2 linked regions of the Callithrix jacchus genome follow. The main gene of each other region encodes a partner of the protein of the gene in region 2 in a complex. Links are inferred from orthologs where the notes say so. Each region holds a gene or a part of one and is shown on either strand. Other genes may lie near its edges.

Region 1 (6,105 bases), on a different chromosome or scaffold from region 2:
AGATGTTTCATTGAGGTTCCTCTTTACTCACATTAGGAATGACTGTCAATTCCAGGAATGAAGCATGCCTGCCCAACTGCCCCCTAGTCAATAAGAGCAGAGTTCAATCACAGAGCTGGAATGGAGAGTGAATACATGTGGGAGGCTCACATGTGACACCAAGTGTTGGCAAGCTGGAACAAACCAAGAATGGCTCATGTGAGCAAAAGGTCTAGAAAACACCCACCCCTACAAAAAAAATTCAGAGAAAGAACATTTATTTCCAAAGTCCTAGCTGCACTGGAGATACCATATAAAAATTTGACAAGGTTTAAAAAAAAAAAGCCAACCATTTTGTCAGGAGTTCAAAATTACTTTTATAAATAATTCACTGAAAATCAAATGACAAAAGAAAACATAAATTACCACCATATGTATGTAGTTTAGATGATACAATATCCCAAAATCCGTGATTCATAAAGAAATTAAGGTAATCCCAGATACTTGAGAAAAATATTCAACTTAAGGATAATTTTTAAGTATTTTTTTAACCAAGGAATATTTTAAAATGTGTTTTGGAAGTCTGGCAAGAAGGGCAATGTTATGAAGTAGGAGAAACCACAGGACCTTTGCTCATATGACCAGAATAGGAGTCCCAAGTCTTTCACCTCTGATTATCAGCTTGATGTTGCCTGAGTGACAGCCTTTCAGATCTGTTTCTTCATCTCTAAAATGAGAACTTAATGCCAGGCATGGTGGCTCATACCTGTAATCCCAGCACTTTGGGAGGCCAAGGTCAGTGTATCACTTTGAGGCCAAGAGTTTGAGATCAGTCTAGCCAATGTGGTAAAACCCTATCTCTATTAAAAAAAAAAAAAATTAGCTGGGTAAATCCCAGCACTTTGGGAAGCTGAGACAGGTGGATTACCTGAGGTCAGGGGTTGAAGACCAGCCTGGCCAACATGGTGAAACCCTGTCTCTACAAAAAAAAAAAAAAAAAAAAATTAGCTGGGTGTGGTGGTACATGCCTGTAAACACAGCTACTCAGGAGGCTAAGGCACAAGAATCGCTTGAACCCAGGAGGCGGAGGTTGCAGTGAGCCGAGATCATACCACTGCAGTCCAGTCTGAGTGACAGAGCGAGAGACGGATTCAAACAAAAAGAATATCAAGTGTTCCTGTATCTCTCAGATCGTTGGAACAGTGAAATGATGTCCATGAAATCACTTCTGCATGTTCCCCAGGCACAGGAGCAGCATCTTGTTCATTTTTATAGCCCTGTCTTATAGAATAGTATTTAGTATAGATTAGGTGCTCAATTTATCTTTTAATTAATGTGTTAAAAGTGCACTTAGGACCAGGCACAGTGGCTCACGCCTGTAATCCCAGCAACTTAGGCCGAGGCCGGCAGATTACCTGAGGTCAGGAGTTCAAGACCAGCCTGACCAACACCGTGAGACCCCCGTCTCTACTAAAAATACAAAAAATTAGCCAGGCGAGGTAGTGCATGCCCATTAATCCCAGATACTTGAGAGCGTGAGGTGCAAGAATTGCTTGAACCCAGGAGGCAGAGGTTGCAGTGAGCAAGGATCACACCACTGCACTCCAGCCTGGGGGACAGAGTGAGACTCTGTCTCAAAAAAAAAAAAGGTGCACTTAAGTGGGACCTTTAAAAAAAGAAGTTTGTTTGTATAGTTTAAAAGGCCTGAGTCAGGCACAGGGGCTCATATCTGTAATCCCAGCACTTGGGGAGGCTGAAGCAGAAGGATCACTTAAGGCAGAGTTCAAGACCAGATTGGACAATACAGATTGACCTTGTTTCTACAAAAATAAAAATTAGCTGGGTGTGGTGCTGCACATCTGTAATCCTAGCTACTTGGGATGCCATCGTGGGAGGACTGCTTGAGTCTAGGAGTATATAAGGCTTCTGTGAGCCATGATCACTTTACTTGCATTCTAGCCTGGGCAACAAAGTGAGATCCTACCTCCAAAAAAAAAAAAAGTACTATAAGTATCGCTTTAGCAAATTTGTCTGTTTTTCCATGAAGAGGAAAGACAGATTTCAGAGTTCAATTCCAAGTTTTAAAACAGCCTTGATTATAGTCACAAGTTCAAAAATCTGACAATCAATAACTGATAGTGGACAGTTAAGAATACTTAATAATGTGCAACTGGGAGACTACTGACATTATAGACAAATGGTGTATTTTGACAGTTTATGAACTTTTAGCCCTTTCCTGTATTTCTAGAAATATTTAGCACTACAATACATGCTTAAAACAAAATCTTGGAAAACAGGACTCAAAGAAAAAAAAAAACAACTATAAACCTGTTTCAGAGAAAAAAAAACCATTCTTAATGTTGTCATTCACAATTTTTGGTATTTATCTATGCCTTAGTTACCTGTTATTATTTTACCGAAATGCTAACAAACCAAATGTATTATTCTACAGCCTGTGTTTTAACTTAATGAAGATTCTTCCAAGTCAACATTCTTCCTAATGATGTTTGATAGCTTGATACTAATCTATTATATAGCTATACCACAATGTACTTATCTTGGGAATTTTGGTAGGATATTAACATTTGAGGTATTTTGTACATTCCCAAAGCCAAAGAAAGCGGTCAAGCCCCTTCCATTCATCCACACACAAGCTCTTTATTGTTTTAATCTGAAACAACTCTTCAAAACATATTTTTCCAATCTTCCATTTTGAAGCTCAAAATTAAATATGGGCAACCTGTAAGTAATAAAGCAAAAATTACGCTACTCTTTCACGTGCACGAGTCCTATTTGCACTTTTTGAGGAAAAGCACATAGCCAAATGGGAGGAAAAAAAAAACCCTGAAATTATTTGTCGAGCGTCCTAGTGTGTCGGAAATTAAGTTAAAATGTTTTGCTCCAACACACGCTTCTATAATTGTAAGAATTTCTATATCCATTATACCGTGTACTTATTTTTCCAGATTTTTTTTCTCTGTTTTTGCAACTCTTTCTGCCCCTTTAAATTAAAACTTCTCCCTTATTATAACAAAACTGTGCTTCCCCAAACCAAGAAATACAGTTCCCAAAATCCCGGATTCTTTGCAGTGTTGAGATGAGAAGCTGAAATATCTGGCCTCTACTTATAAATACAAGTCCCATTGATCAAAATACCCGGAAAAAATAAAGAAAGAAAATCACTAAGAGTTTGTGTCGAACCGTCAAGAAACAATAACAAAAAAGCAGGCCCTGAGCAACCGAGGAAATGAAGGACTTTCCCGACCTGTCACTGGTATTGGGGACTGAGGGAAACGTTGACAGCTTTGAAGCTGCCCCGCGACGAGCGGGAAAGAGTGGCGCGGGGAGTTTCCGGGCCGTAGTACGCCTTTGTCCCTGCCGGCAGGTGCGACAGGGCTACCGTGCCCGTCCCGAGGTCCGCCGCCACGCCCCGCCCAACCCCGCGCGCCCGGCCCGACCGGCGCGTCTCCCCACGGCCGGGGCGGGGCCTCCGCCGCGGCTCCCGCCCGCCCGGGCCCACACAAAGGCCCGGCAGCTGGGCGAGGGGGAGCGGCCCCACCCGCCCAGGGCCCGGCCTTACCCAGCCGCTCCGCCGCCTGCAGCCCCGGCCGCGGTCACTGACCGCCGCGCCCCGCCCCGTGGCCGCCACGGCTGCTGCTATAGCTCCTCCGGCCGTGGCCGCTGCCGTCGCTCCGGCACCCGCCGCCCTCACCTCCCTTACCCCTCCCGGTGCCGCCGCAAAATCAGCCCCGCCGCCGCCAAGTGATCCCTGCTCCGCGCGACACTGCGTGCGCGCGCACGCAGAGAGGCGGTGACGCACTTTACGGCGGGAACGTACGTACGTGACCCTCGTCGGTGGCCTCAGTTCACACGTGGCGCCAGCGGAGGCAAGTTGTTGTCCTTGCGCCACTTTCTACAACCAACATGAAGCGGCCTAGTAAGTGGGATCAAAAGGCGGGCGTGGAGGGACCCATGTCTGGTAGTTGCTGCAGCCACTACGACACTCTTTTACGGCTTGGTCTCTGCGGGCATGGAGGTGGGAGCCTGCGCGTAGGCCTTGGCCCTGTTTTCTCGTAGAACCGATTTGGAAGGCCCTACGCCGATCCTAGGCGTGGGCTCATTCTGCAGAAGGAAGCCTGGCGGAGGGTGGGCAAGACTAGGCTAGATTTTCGGAAGGAAGCAGCGTTTAAGCTAGGTTTCAGGCCCAATATTTTTCCTTCCCTGGTCACGTGCATACCGGGCCAGGTGCACACATCGCCTCCCAGACTCTCTGTTCCTCTCTTGAATTCGTGCTGTTTTACACGAAGTGGCTGTCATTTTGGATCTCATACGCTGCTGTGTATGATCCCATTCTAATATTGTAACAGTAAGTGCAGAGAACTTGGACTCCATTCTGGATCTACTGAATCAGATTCTCTAGGATTTGAGAGTGGGCATGTATGTCTGTATTAGGCATTTCGCATTAGTCTTAACGTTAGCTTTGGCAGCCAATAACATTAAAAAAGGGTATAACTCCATAGTGCGTTCACCCAGAACTAATCATTTGCATTAACACATTTGTGATGTGATTATTTATTTTTTTTGTAGAGTTAAAGAAAGCCAGTAAACGCATGACCTGCCATAAGCGGTATAAAATCCAAAAAAAGGTAAGTGTAGTAGTTGGGAGAGCTATACCAAACACATTGCTAAACTGATTCATTTGCCCTATTCATTTGCAAAGGGAAAGTCTGGGTTAATATGATTTGGTTTCAGGAAATGGCATTGGATAGACTGATCATGGCAGCTCTTGGGCATCAGAAGTGTGGCTGTGAGAAAGAGCAGTGATTTGGTGATGAGTCTGTAAACTTGTTCAGCATGTTAATTTCCACATAGAGAGCCTTCTAATGATATTTTCTTGCTGTTTTATACTTAGGAATGCATTACTCTGTAAGATTCCAATTAAAGCCCCATTTTCCTAGGCTGTTTTATAGGCATAACTAAATTCCAGCTAGATTGGTTTCTCACTTGAATTCTGCTTAAGTATAAAGATATTTTTATAAGCAAACAAAATCTCTTTATTATTATAGGTTCGAGAACATCATCGAAAATTAAGGAAGGAGGCTAAAAAGCGGGGTCACAAGAAGCCTAGGAAAGACCCAGGAGTTCCAAACAGTGCTCCCTTTAAGGAGGCTCTTCTTAGGGAAGCTGAGCTAAGGAAACAGCAGGTAAGTTATGTTAGCCAGAACTTTCAGTGTAGTGTGTTATGTGTGATGTGTTTCAGAGTAAGGTAACAACACTAGTCACCGATTCACCTATGTCTCTTATGACTCCAACACAGCTTGAAGAACTACAACAGCAGCAGAAACTTGACAGGCAGAAAGAACTAGAAAAGAGAAGAAAACTTGAAACGAATCCTGATGTTAAGCCATCAAATGTGGAACCTATGGAAAAGGTATACTGATTAGATTTTTATGAATGAGAGATGAGGGGTTTTGATTTTGTTTTTGTTGCTTGGGCCTGACTGTAGTCACACAATGACAGCCCACTGCAACCTTGACCACCCACGCTCAAGCAGTCTTACCACCTCAGTCTCTGAGTAGCTGAGACTACAGGAGCACACAATCTAATTTTTTTTAGTAGACACAGGCTTTTGCCGTATTGGTATCAAACTCTTGAGCTCAGGTTATCCACACATCTCAGCCTCCCAAAGGCTCTGATATTACAGGTGTGGGCTGTTGGGCTTGGCCAAGATATGAGTTCTGATGAAGAAATAAAAGCGCATCAACAGGTTGCTGAACTTCTTGGGAGGAAGACAACTGAGTTCAGACTTTGTCTTACATATTTAACAACTGCAAGTGCTGCTTCTCAGCTGTAGAAAAATGGAGATACAGGTTACAACTGCTATACTTCTAATTTTGTGTCCTTTCCCCCCCTTTATCCCCTAGGAGTTGGGGCTTTGCAAAACTGAGAACAAAGCCAAGTCGGGCAAACGAAATTCAAAGAAGTTGTATTGTCAAGAACTTAAAAAGGTATCTTAGCCTAGGTCAGTGTCTGACAGTGGTAATAAGGTTAAAAAGACTGAAGTCATTTTATTTTTAACCTTTTAAGATCAAGGGTACGTGTGCAGGCAGGTTTGTTATATGGATA
Region 2 (5,377 bases):
TCTCATGCCCACAGCCTCCAGTGCTTTCTGTGGTGATGGCACACTGATGGCTCTGCACATGAACCTGTCTCCTCTAGTCCCTGGCCAGGAACACAGGGTTGGCCCAGGGGAGGTGCCAGTAACTACAGGAGCAGCTCTCCTCAGAGGCTTCGCCTAGCCCAGGCTCCTTCCCTGTAAGCCGTCTTCCTCCTGTCACTGGCCCTCCATCCCATTCCACTGGCTCTGGGGCGTCTGTGTCATTCTGGTCCCAGTCTGTCCTCTAGGAGCCTCGGGCTTCTGAGTGAGTTTGTCACACGCCCCTGTTTCCTATTCATGCTTGTCTCCTGTCTGTCCCACTGCCAAAGGGAGCAGCCTATTCTCTCCCCTGGTTCCCCTGACGTGGGCATAGTGGCCTTGAGCACACGTGTCCCATGGCCAGCAGCTCGCCACTGTGCTGTGGATCCAGTGTCCCCATTGCGGAGGAGGGTATGGCAGCCAGGACTGGGCTCTGGCTGGGAGAGACGGAGGTACTGGCTTGGCTCTTGGGCAATCAAGAGTGCTTCCATTATGGGGTCACCTAGGCCTTTAGCTGAAAACCCTACTTGGGAAGTCATGTGACACAGCCGTTGCCAAGCTTTGTGCGTGGCACAGAGACCAGGCCAGGACTCCTGGTCTAGCTCTCTGTGGGCTGACTGGCCCCTGGCCCAGGGAACTGAGGCCCATCATTTCCCCAGGCAGGACTGACACTCGTCTCCCTGGGGACAGAGTTAAAAAAAAAAGTCCCTCCTAAGATCCCATGGGGTGGGGTGGTGCAGTGGAGGGAACGTGGATTGGAGTCAAGGATGAGCCAGCCCATCCCTAAGGTCCTGTCCTGTCCTGTCCTGTCCTTGCAGCTGTCTTCTAGTGCGGGGAGTGGGAAGACACACGCAGCCCTCCTAATGCTAAGAGGCCACTCAGGACACTTCCCAGGTCCCCAAGCCCCTCCCACCCGGCTGCTGTGATGGGGACATGTGCTCACCCTGGTCTCAGCAGGGTGGCCTTGCCTTCAACCTCAAAGATTTGAAAACTGCACAATCAGCATGAGAGACAACAGCGGGCAGGGTCTATGATGTCTTCAAGCTCCACAATTGGAACTCATTAGGTGGTAGCTAAGATAAAGAGGGCATCTGCCTATAAGTCCTGACCTGCCACCACCAGGGACTCCCCAAGGGACCTGCTCTGAAGCCATTCTGCAAACTGCAGAGGGCCTGGAGCTTGGCAAGGAATTTGGGCTCAGGGCACCTTCAGTTCAGAGCAGGAGGGATGGTGCTATGGTGGCTGAAGGAAAGAATGCTCTGAGGACCTGTCAAGAGGCCCTGGGGAATTCAGCTCCTGAGCCCACACTGTGGGCACTGTCTGCAGCTGCAGGGCTGGGTGAGGGTCGACACCGTCAGCGCCTGGATGCTGGGAGCTGCTAGTCTGCCACCCGCACCTTCGAGCCCAGAATGAGGGTTCCGACTGGATCGGCCTCTGGGGGAGGAGGTGCTCAGTGTCGACGTGGGCAACATCACTGTCTCCCGGGACCGCAGAGTCAACTCTCGTGGAGTGAGGCCACCCTACTGGCTCTCCGGCCACAGGGCATGGCTCCATGCAGGGTGAATGGACACTAAAGCTGTATTCCCAGGCGGCACCCAGAGGGAAGAGGGAGGTATCAGACACCAGCCCCCCAGCCGCCTCTCAGGGCTGCCCTATCTGTGAAACAGAACCATGTGATTGGCAGGGCTGCTGGGGGCAGGTCACAGGATCTCAAAACCACTGGCGCTTAGGCAGGGGCCCAGCTGTTTCTCAGGCCCAGGGCTCTTGAGCCTCGTGGGTGGCTCTCATTCCTTCTTCCTTGCTCAGATTTACAGGAAGTCACAGAAAGCTGTCTCTCGGGATGTCTGGGAAAACAAGCCAGACGCAATCCCAATAAGCCCCATTAATTGCCATGGCTTTGCAAAACAGACCTTCCTATTTGTTCCTCAGTGTAGCATTTTAAGCTGTCATCCCTACGTGGTGACTGCAGATGTGGATGATGATAGTCTGATGAGCGGACTAAATCTGAACATCCTGTTTTGATGTAGGGATACTCACTGCACCCCCAACCCAACACAGAGGACAGGGTTAGGAACCACAGGGCTTCCCAGTCCTGGAGTCCTGCTGAGCCAGGACAGCTCAGCTTTGCTTTTGTTTTGTTTTTTGAAGACTCAACCCTGTTACCCAGGCTTGAGTGCAGTGGCATGATCTTGGCTCACCGCAGCCTCGACCTACTGAGCTCAGGTGATCCCACCTCAGCCTCCTGAGTAGCTGACACTACAGGCATGCGCCAACATGCCTGGCTCATTCTGGTATTTTTTATATAGAGATGGGGTCTCACCATGTTTCCCAGGCTGGTCTTAAACTCCTGGGTTCTGGAGATCCACCTCAGCTCCCCAAAGTGCTGGGATTGCAAGTGTGAGTCACCGCAGTGGGCCTTGACCTCGCTTTTAACTCTGACTCCTACCTCCTACCAGGAACAGGAGGGCCTCCCCTGGGTCCATCCCCACCCTTGCACAGAGGACACTGGACTGGAATGTTCTGTCTGCACCTCCACCATCTCAGCCAGCCCAAATGCTACAGGCAGGGATCAAGGTGACCTGTCTCTATCTTCCAGGGCAGCCAGGATGGGGTCCAGTCCAGCATGGTACTCACCAAATGCTCTCTGACTGACCGAAGGCAGAGACACTGCAGTAAGAAGGAGCTGCTAGGGGACCCCTGACTCTCCAGAGCTGGGGCGGGCCTTTGTGTTTAAGATAGAATTCAAGTTCAACAGATGAAGAATCCTGGGCAGGGGCCATCCTGACCAAATAACAGTCTGGGCAAGAGCAGAGAGAGGGTGTGAGGCAGGATGGCTGAATGGTGGATGGCAAGGGTGGGCCCAGGGCTCCCTGGAGGTGAGGACTTGAGATTCACCCTGACAGAGCTTCAAGTCTTTGCCAGCTATTGTGTTAGGTGCTTCCAACCCTACTTGGCAGAGCAGAGTACTGGTGAGACACACAGGGTGACGGAGGACAGAGCAAACACACAGACCCCAGCAAGATGGTGCTGCAAAGCTTGAGAAAGCCTCGAAGGCGTCACCACTCACACAGACAAGTCCTTCTCAAAACACTTTTGCAGGGAGATGAGGGAGGGAAGGAGAGACTCGTGCATGATCCTACCTGAAGGCGTAGGTCTTCTGATGCCAACTCAGCTGTCCCCGGATGCTGTATGCGATGGTGGTGACAAACTCCCCACCCAACCCCAACTCCGAGCAGAGCTTCAGGGCAAACTTCTCCGGTGAGTTCTCCTTCTCTGACATGTCCCACTCAAACTGGTCCACCAGGGAAATGTTTCCCACATGGATGTTCAGCTGAGGCAACAACCAAAGGACACAAGTTAGAGCTTTCAGGACTGTCCCCAGCCCAGGGAGGCCACAAGGGTAGGGGAGCCTGCCAGACCAGGGATGTGCCCTGCCCACCAGGATCCACCAGCTGATAACTGCAGGTAGCCCTTGTCCTTCCAGTTCCTCACCCCCAAAACAGGGCTGACCCCACAGGCCTCCTGCCTGCCACAAGGGGCTCTGGCTTCAGGGCCCAGCATGGTCACCCTCGAGAGGCCCCAAAGTGGCCCCAGGAGCACCTGAGTCCCACCTTACCTTCATCCCATCCCCGCTGTGCCCCATGCTGGCGGGGACCTTCCTTTCTGCCCTTCACTCCTGCTGCCATCGGTCTTACATGACTACACTGGCCAAGCAGGGTTCAGCTAAGGCAATCCTAAGCCCTCTCTTAAGCCAAAGTCTATGCCCTTCACAGACCTTGCCCCTCTCAGAAAACCCTGCCTAGCATATTCACAGATGCACTCCACCCTGGGCCAACATGGTGAGGCAGCAGGGCAGCCTGCGGGGAGCGCAGTGCTGAGTCAGCTGCTCCCACACTCCCCAGAGGACTCCTGCGGCACATGACTCACAGCCAGAGGGCCCAGGCCCCGCATGTGCAGTCAGGGATTTTTCATAAGTGGACACCTGGGAAGCCAGCACCCAGCCAGAGAGAACAGACTGTACCCTAGGATCTCCCACCTACACCTGCCCCACTGAGGCAGCACCATCTTGACTTCGCTCCCCCTGAGTAAGTATGGCTGTTCTGAATAGGATGGACCCTGGGGTCCAGTTTCATTCCCTCTGTGTATGCCTGCAAAGCTCCTCCCATTAGAGTGTAGGGCTGGAGTCATCCCTCACTGCTGTCCAGTGCCCCACGGGGCAAGGAGGCCATGGTGCACCTTCCCATTCACTGTTGGCCCTTAGCTTTGAAGTCGAGGATCAGGGTGGGCAGTTGCATGGAGAACTCGCCACTGCCTCGGAGCCCAGCCCTTCTGAGGACTTCTGCCTCCTTTTAGAGAAATGAGGGCACCCCAATCCCCGATCATGTTCATAAAGCCCTGTGCCTCTGAGCCCTGAACACCACCACTTGCTAGAATGTTCTTCCCCTCACCTGGCAGGACCAGCCTCTTCTTAGCATCCTGGTCTAAGCCAAAGTGCCGGCTCCGGAGAACTCCCCTCTCACCAGCGCCTTTCCACACCCTTCTCTCCATTTTCTCCCCCGTTTGAAGAAAGGATCTCACTCTGTCACCCAGACTGGAGTGCAATGGCATGATCATGACTCACTAAAGCCCTGAACTCCTGGGTTCAAGAGACCCTTCCACCCCAGCCTCCTGAGTAGCTTGGACTATCATGTCCACACGCTACCATGTCCAGCTAATTTTTTTTTTTTTTTTTGGTAGAGACAAGGTTTCTGTAAGGCCCAGGCAATACATCAAGTGTTCTGCATGGAGAAAAGACCTGTGGCTGAGCCCTCTGCTCTCTGCTGCCTCTGTGTGTTGCCAGGACTGGCCTCAAAAGATCCTCCCTTGACGGTCTCCTGAGTAGTCTGGGACTATATGCTTGGGCCACCATGCATGGCCCCTCTCCTATTTTCTTCACAGCACTTAGGACTGTCTGTTTTGTTTTGATTTGAGACAGAGTCTTGCTCTGTCGCCCAGGCTGGAGCGCAGTGGTGTGATCTTGGTTCACTGTAACCTCTGCCTCCCAGGTTCAAGTGTTTTTCCTGCCTCAGCCTCCCAAGTAGCAGGGATTATACGCGTGCGCCACCATGCCCAGCTAGTTTTTTTGTATTTTTAGTAGAGACAAGGTTTCTCCATGTTGGTCAGGCTGGTCTCGAACTCCCGACCTCAAGTGATCCGCCCACCTCGGCCTCCCAAAGTGCTAAGATTACAGGCATGAGCCACCATGCCCAGCCAGTACTGTCCAAAACAATCTAAATCATTTGTCTCCAGGAATCCTAGCACAGGCAGGGTGGTATTTGTTCTG

The links. The genes of interacting proteins can lie anywhere in the genome.
Region 1: SMARCB1 (region 2) and PBRM1 share a complex: the UniProt entries of both Homo sapiens proteins name them as parts of the SWI/SNF-B (PBAF) chromatin remodeling complex. The link is inferred for Callithrix jacchus from reciprocal best matches to the Homo sapiens genes SMARCB1 and PBRM1.

What each region holds. Positions count from the first base shown.
Region 1 is NC_133516.1:35,226,431-35,232,535, forward strand, and holds the start of PBRM1 (protein polybromo-1), read right to left. Parts: upstream 3,725-6,105; 5' UTR 3,560-3,724; intron 3,420-3,559; exon of another isoform or gene 3,245-3,419; intron 174-3,244; exon of another isoform or gene 32-173; intron 1-31. Other genes in the region: GNL3 (guanine nucleotide-binding protein-like 3), read left to right, coding at 3,904-3,916, 4,567-4,625, 5,046-5,183, 5,297-5,410, 5,904-5,987. UniProt on the Homo sapiens protein: Involved in transcriptional activation and repression of select genes by chromatin remodeling (alteration of DNA-nucleosome topology). Required for the stability of the SWI/SNF chromatin remodeling complex SWI/SNF-B (PBAF).
Region 2 is NC_133502.1:192,662,619-192,667,995, forward strand, and holds part of SMARCB1 (SWI/SNF-related matrix-associated actin-dependent regulator of chromatin subfamily B member 1), read right to left. Parts: intron 3,386-5,377; coding exon 3,195-3,385; intron 1-3,194.